Caenorhabditis elegans: one gene and its partner. The protein of the gene in region 2 purifies or fractionates together with the protein of the main gene of each other region. This does not show direct contact. Each region holds a gene or a part of one and is shown on either strand. Other genes may lie near its edges.

Region 1 (4,191 bases), on a different chromosome or scaffold from region 2:
AAAATGAAAGAAATGAAAGAAAATACAAATGAACAAGAGGTTAAAAGTGATAGAATTCGGCTAAAAACCATCTTATCTTCCTCTATGTCATACGTGATGGGTTGATCGTAGTTGAAGAACTGGACTCTGATGTAACACAGAAAACGGGCAAACCAATAAGTTCAATGAAACATTGACATGAAACATCGAGATGGAAGACGCAGGATGAGAAACATTGAAAATAGTGTTGGTTTCTACGTGATGAAGACGAAAATGGAGAATTAGAGAAGAAATACGTTAAAATAAGCTTTTTCTTGTTTAGAAACCTTCAGAAAAATAGAAATAACTTTGCATTTATTGAGTTGTGAATTAGTCCGCTTTCTTACTTTGAAAATAATTTACTTCGAAATAGGATTCTGCACGGGCAAAAAACATCAAAAATGGTTAATTTTTGTTTTCATAGGATATTTTATTGACTGTTTCGTTGTTTGAACTTCAAAAAGTCGCAATATGCATGTGATGTTTTTTAGGATCGAAACGCTCTGGATCTTATTTTAGTTGATTATATCTATTCGGCGATTTTCAAAAGCAATAATATAGATTTTTTTTTAAATTTTAATCAGTAAAACAAATCTGAAAAATTCCAAAACTGGGAACAAAATCAACAAGTAGAAAAACAACGGCATTCAACAATAGAGATCTAGAAGAAACGCGAGATTACAGTATCACAACAGAATGTTTGCTGAAACCACTAGTGTGAATTTTTCGTGGTTGAATTTGGATTTGGCTGTGGACGGATTGATGTGAAATGGGAGTCCGAAATCATAAAGGCTGCGACTTTTATCCAACGTTACCAAGCATCGAGTGGGGTTGAGTTGGAGTTCTAGTCTGAAAAATATTAAGCTTTTAAAAAAAGCTTTCAAGTTATCAATTTTAGGTTTTTCAAAATCAGGTATTTTTTGCTTCTGCTTCTTTACGTACAAATTGGAAATTAGCTTTGTAGCCTCTTATGGATTAAAAACTTTTATACAGTTTTTCACACCTACAAACTTATCAATAATAAGTCTTGCACGTAAAACTAATATAGATAATAATGAAGTCTGTGTTTTTGAGAATCTTGAGAAATTCTAGACGATTTTGGAAAATTATTTATCATCGGGTAGAAATTAAATTACGATACATTTTTTTTAATGTTACGGCCTGTGGGGAAATGATTAAACACCATTCCTGCGGTGCTAAAACTGCGAAATAAATATAACTGTTGGAAAAATTTTGGAAATATGTTTATTTCGAGTCAAAAACTCAATTTTCACGAATTTTCTGAAAGTCGATTAAACAATTTGTCTTCCAATTTTATGTTTTAATTATGTTCAAAATATTCATATTATTACATTATAGGGTTCAAACATCCGACAGTAATTTAGATTTTTTTTTAAAATAAAATAAAAAAATAAAAATTTGTCAAAATGTTTTTTTTTAATTTATTATGAAATTTCGACATTTTAGCATAATAGGGATGGATTTCAATCATTTCCCCACTGGCCATAGTCAACATTTGAAATTGAAAGAAAAATCGATGATTTTAATTATGTGTTCACACTTTTTGAAAACTCAACTCGCATTTTGATTGTTTATATTTCAACTGAATTTAAAATAATGTACCCACCTTCTAGGATCTTTGATTGGTTCGCCATTAAGTTCACATCGCATACTGATTTCGAGTCTGTCACCATCAAAAAGTCGTATTCTTGTTCCATCAATGTGTTTCAGGCCAAACATCTAAAGGAGACATTTTAAAGTTAAAATTATTGTTGCAACAAAAATAACTAACCTCATTTTTCATTTCAGCAACATCATCATTTCCAACTTGCTTTTTTTCTTCTTTCTCCATTCTAACTTTATCTTCCTGATACATTTCTTCGACAATCTGTTTTTCTGGTTTTTTGTGAATTTTTTGTACTTCAAGTTCTCCAACTGAAACACGATTGCGAAGAACGATTGGTTTCAATGGGTCTAAGTCAATGGAGTGCTGAATTTAAGAATTATGTTATTTCAATTGATAAAATTTCAACTGACTCTATCCTTCACAAGATCGCAGAAAATTAGACAAAGGAGATGACGGAAGAATGCGTCATTTGGAGACGCTAGTCGTTTTTTATAGAATGTGCTGTTTACCAAAACATCAATCTAAAAACATTTCATACTAACAATCAAACATTTATAATTAAACTACCTTGATCGAATTTTCATCACTATGATCTTTCACGCAGTCAATTTCGCCAACACTCATCGGAATTCGAAATGACGGATTTCCAGCATCTAATTGAGCAGCAATTTCATCCTTTAAAAATAGTTGATATTACGGAAATAATTTCAAAATACCTACTTGATCAAAATCGTCGATTGGTGGCGGTAATTGCTCGCAATGGCATACATTTACAAAACACTTTCGGTATTCATCGTTTACAATTCCATTGATTTTTACATCCTTCCATTTACACACATAACCTGGAAGTGGTTTGATGAGCCACGTTTCCGCTTCCTCCTTTTTTTCAATTTTAAGATCCATCTGAAACAATTTCAGTATTTCCAGATATACGAAACCAAAAAGTATGCAAACGAGTTTTAACATTAAGTTTGTAAATCAAGATCAGGATCAATGACAAAAAATAGTTTATGATAATGAATTAATTGAGGCACTATACTCATAAATAATGATAATAAATTACTCAAGTATTTAAACTATTCACAAGAAGACACGACGTTAGAAAATGGCAAGAAGGGCGAAAACAGAGTAGAGAAGAACACACGGATATGCAACGAGAAGACGTTGGTGATCCATTGACAAAGCGATTACAAACAATTTTGATGAAGCAGAAGAACACCAAAGGACAGCAAGCGACGATATAATATACCCGATAATGCCCTTGAATGATAATACAGCTGTAACAATGCTCAGAAGAGCCATTGGAAGTAGACAATATCCAAGAACTGATGCGGTGCAGGTGAAGGAAATATTTTTCTCGTCCGTTGCCATGAGATTCATGAGGGCATAAATTCCAACGCATCCAAGTCCGCCAACTCCATAGATAAATCCAAACGAGAGTTTGCCGTGAAGAAGAAGAGCGGCTCCAAAAAGAAGACAGAAGACGAGAGGTCCAGCAAGATCTTGATCAGCAATAACTTCGACAGTTGCAGATCCAGTTGGATTTAAAACAGCAATAGTTTTCTCCTTGATATGTGAGAAGTTAATTCCGAGTTCTTCCAAGAGTGGTGGCTCATTTTCATAGTCTTCGCCATCAGCAGCAACACCGGCGTTTGGAATTGCTGAAAATTGTAGAATTAAAAATGCATTTCAGAATGAAGAATTGATATAAATATATATGTACCTCCCGTCCCGTTGTTTGGCATGAACATTTGTCCTCCATAATAATTGGTTTGTGGTTGTTGATATTGTTGATTTTGTTGATAGTAGTCGTTTCCAGCTTCTGAAGGTGAAATGATATTCAAGAAATTTGTTTAATTACAAATAAATCTCACGCTGCGGTGGCTGTTGTGGCTGCGAGTAATCAAATTGACCCCAACCCATGTCTTGTTGATTTGTTTGAGTGTTCCATCCTCCTGAAAATTATAAAACTATAAACATTATACTTTAAATAAAAATACCCTGTTGTTGTTGTCCATCATCCATCCAAAATCCATTCGACATATTGAGAGTATAATCAAAAATTTATTGAAATGATGTGGCAAATGAAGAGATTTTTCGTTGTAACAGTGAAGCAGTAGAGCGCACTTGTGTCGCGGCCTAGAAATGTTTGAACGAACTCTGGTCCGTGTACTCCTCTTGGACAACTTAATCTTGAGTGAAATCTTCCTGCGCTGAACCTGCTTTTAATAAATTTCAACACTTAGCTTCTTGGTAGTATCAATAAATTATGTCTTCATTATATGCATTGCTCCGCCCGATTAGAATCAGCTCATCGAACTTTCAAAAATGTGTAAGAAGTCTTGGAACAACGTCAAAGTGTAAGCGATTTATTTCAAATTTCAAATTATTGTTTCCATCTGAGTTTCAGGCAACGTCGAAGTTCTACCATTGTCAAAGATTGATAAAGATGACTTGGGACACTCCATTCTAATCCACAAGGGAACATTACCTCCCGGATCACAAAAAACTCCTCATGATGTAGTCGCGATGGGTGTGAAAGGAGC
Region 2 (3,595 bases):
AAAAAAAAAACAAAATGTGAAAAAGAAAAAAAAATTCAATTAAGGAGAGTTGGGTTACTGTAATCAGGACTGAATCCAATTTTTTTTTCGAAAACGAAAACGAAAATAGTTTTTTCGCCAACAATACGATTTTACAAAAAGACGAAAAACATCAAGTTATGTCAATTATAAACGTTTCTTTAAACATTTTGAGCAAATATGAATTTCGAATGTTATTTTCTATAAAAAACTTGAAAAATTATAATTTTTTAAACAAAATTATCTTTTCTATTTCAGAAAATCCCACTTCGAGCATCGGTCTCCACTGATTCTGGATTCGTAATGGTAGGAAGCGCAGACCGAAACGTTTATATCTATTCAACAGAAACGGGTGGAGTGACTTGCAAGCTTCCAACTCCTTATCCTGAACCGTCACATGTAGTTGCTTTCAATCAGAAACAATTCCTGATGACATCTTTAGGACGAGAAGTTATATTATGGGCACCCAGTGAAGAATACACTCAGAATCTTTAAACAAAAAGATGCAAATAGCACATTTCAAATCATTCCCCATTGATCTCGATTCAACATTTTAAAATTACGATATTTATAATTTTTACTCACAAAAACAACAATATGAATGTAACAACAAGTTGAGATTCGAAATGAAGAAAGTTCAATATCAGAAAGAATATCTTGATGACACCATTGCTGCTTCTTCTGGAACCATATAATCCAAGATTTCAGTAATAGTTGATTTCTGCTCTTCGGACATAAATGCGATTAAAAGATCAAAACGACTGAGTTCACTGATGATCATCATTCGTGCGGCGAGATGGGGAATCGTGCGACCAGTTTTCAGATGAAAGTTGAGTGCCTTGAAGATTTGAACAGCATATACATCGTCTAGGAGTTCATCGAATAATTCTGAATATTTATCCATGCTGATATTCTGAAACAAATTTCGATTAATTCTGAAACGTCACAGATTTCCAACTTACTAAGAAATATTCTGCAAGAGGAAGCAAACTTTGGGCTCTTTTCAACATATTCACAGCTCCAACAAAATCTTGATAGTCCTTTGGGTGTGGTGGAAGCTTTGTTATATACTTTGGAACAATATTATCATTCTCTGGTTCTTCAGCGACAATGATCTCCTCGATCTTCTCAATATTGTACGTAAAGTCGATTTTTGTGAATTTTTCATCTGATTGTAGATATTCGTCTCTTTCGATTGACGGAAGATCAATAACTTGCACATTTTTCTTTCCTTTCAGATCATTTGCTTGTCTCTCCATATTTGGATCATTCGAATATTTGAAACAAGTTTTCATATCTCTTTCAGCCAATTCATACAATTCCAGTGCTTTGAAGGCTTGAGCTCTTCTGTAGTAAGCTTTTGCTGCAGTTGAATCCAAATTTAGTGCAGCAGTACAATCGATTTGGGCAAGTAGAGGAAGATCTGCGTTGAGCCCAGCTTGAGCTCGATTACTGAATACAATTGGATCAGGCCAATGTTCAAGACTTTTCGAATAGATTGTCATAGCCTTATGATACTTTTTCTTCTTAAAAGCTTCGTTTCCCTGCTCTTTCAGACGTTGTGCAATTTTTTTTTCTTCGTCCATTTCTGAAACGAAATATTTTATTTCAAAATAAGGTAATTCACAAGTAAGCTCTATCTCCAAGAATACTTTTTATTCATTCAAGACACGAAAAAACCTTTTACAAGTACAGTAACCCATTCATCAGTATTCTGAAATCTTATTAGATTTTTTGGGGTTTTTCGAATAAAAAAACAAAATTTAAAAATTTAAAGAAGAGAAAAAACAATTTTCTTGTTGGTTTTTTGGGTTTTAAAACAATTAATTTCTTGTGTTTTGGGGTCAGCCCTAGCGCAGCCTTTATTTGAAAATTGTTTTCCGTGGTGAGAGCAGAAAGCGTTTTTTTTTTAAATAAAAGCAACATTTCACAATTTGGTAACAACAAATAACAATGCGATGGAATTATCTACCAACTTGGGTAAAAACAGATATTAAAAAAAAAAAGCAAGCATTTTATTTACAAGAATACCCGCAACGGTATTAAGTGTTAGTTTTTATTTAAAAAAATTTCAAGATTAAGTTTAAAAATCCAATCTATCACAAGAAAAAAGCATCTGGATAAGAAATAGACATTCACAAAAATCGAAAAAGGCAATAAATATATTTGAACAACTAAATTTGGAAATTTTTAATAGATCGGAAATCGGTTCGAAGTCGAACAAAATCATGAATCAATTGTCTATCAACATTTTCGAGCAACGAGGAGTGAGCTGTTTCATTAACTTGATCGGGAAGAACGGCGAGCAAATTGGTAAGAGCTTGAAGACTTTCCCATTGTGTCAGTGCATTTTGAACTCTCCATTTTGATACAAGAGTTCGAAGTTCTCCAACATCACAAAGAAGAAGTACAGCACCAGTAGAATTATATGTGAACTGTTGAATATGTGTAAGCATGAATTTGAATAGCCGAGTTGCAAGATCAGATTGAAGTGCTTCCAAATTTTCGCCATCACATCCCAACTCCATTGCAGCAACTTGGTTTGCAAGAAAACGAGATGCCAATTGACATTGTGGGGATACTCGAATATCAATTTGCTGAGAATCCGGACGGAAATCAGTTTTCTTTTGTTCGCTGAACAAGAATTTCACGTATCCTACGATTGAATTCAATTGCCGTTCCAATCCTAAACTCATTTTTGATTCCAAAGAACGCAGAGATTGTTGCCATTTCTTGGCAACAGATGGTTCGACAATTGTTTCTCTGAAATAAAATATATTTATTTGTTTTCTAATAAAAATTAAGCTCACTTGATAATAGGGAAAATGGGATCTTCAAATTGTTTAATCATAAGTAAAATGACACTGGTACATTTTGCAACAACCGAGAAAAAGTAGGCAGGTGGTTCAGTTTTTGATTCTGCAAGAGAAATTCCAGCCAAGCCTGTCTCCACAGCATAATCCAAATGTTCTCCGTAAAGATATTTTAATAGAACGTCTACGATATTTTCCACGTGTCTTGGCAGCTCTTCTTTGTCACATAACTGCAAAAAAGTTGAAATTTCGAATTTATTTTTGCAAAAATGCTAGGTTTTTTATACGTTAAAATTTTGAAAGAAGCTTGGAAAAAAATTCCGAATATTATTTCAAAACTCTCAATTTTTAGGAAATATACTCGGAAACTTGAATATTTTTTGAATATTCCTAAAGAAAAATTAAAACAAAATAATACAGTACCCCACCGTTTTATTGGTTTCTTTTGGAAAAAAAATGGGTTTCTTGGTTTTTTTCGAACCAATACAAATTTTATTGCAAAAATGTTGATTTTTAGTCGGAAAAAGGAAAAATTTTGAATTTTTTCGTTTTTTGGTCGAAAAATTTTTGCTGAAAGCCACAGGTGACACTGAAAATCTCGTAAAAAGCTCAAAACGTTTTTTTTTCTTGAAAACTACAGTAACCCAGCACTAATATTTGAAATTTGGAATTGTTGAAAACTACTTTGAAATATCGAAAAATTCGGCGAGGCGGGTTTCAGACTTGAATTTGTATCAGTTTTTCGTGTTTGACGATATTTTTAA

What was found. Proteins that work in one complex are often made in the same cells at the same time.
Region 1: the proteins of rpap-3 (region 2) and F32D8.4 fractionate together in Caenorhabditis elegans (co-fractionation; one large-scale study listed by BioGRID). This does not show direct contact.

Annotation. Positions count from the first base shown.
Region 1 is NC_003283.11:10,891,013-10,895,203, forward strand, and holds F32D8.4 (PIH1 N-terminal domain-containing protein), read right to left. Parts: upstream 2,549-4,191; coding exon 2,366-2,548; intron 2,321-2,365; coding exon 2,213-2,320; intron 2,167-2,212; coding exon 2,056-2,166; intron 2,009-2,055; coding exon 1,811-2,008; intron 1,759-1,810; coding exon 1,646-1,758; intron 868-1,645; coding exon 705-867; 3' UTR 585-704; downstream 1-584. Other genes in the region: F32D8.14 (Protein YIPF), read right to left, coding at 2,744-3,306, 3,369-3,467, 3,520-3,600, 3,646-3,688; F32D8.5 (Transmembrane protein 70 homolog, mitochondrial), read left to right, coding at 3,915-4,005, 4,050-4,191.
Region 2 is NC_003282.8:7,777,360-7,780,954, forward strand, and holds rpap-3 (RNA polymerase II-associated protein 3), read right to left. Parts: upstream 1,607-3,595; 5' UTR 1,605-1,606; coding exon 981-1,604; intron 932-980; coding exon 662-931; 3' UTR 580-661; downstream 1-579. Other genes in the region: swd-2.1 (Anaphase-promoting complex subunit 4-like WD40 domain-containing protein), read left to right, coding at 277-513; sec-10 (Exocyst complex component 5), read right to left, coding at 2,193-2,781, 2,829-3,061.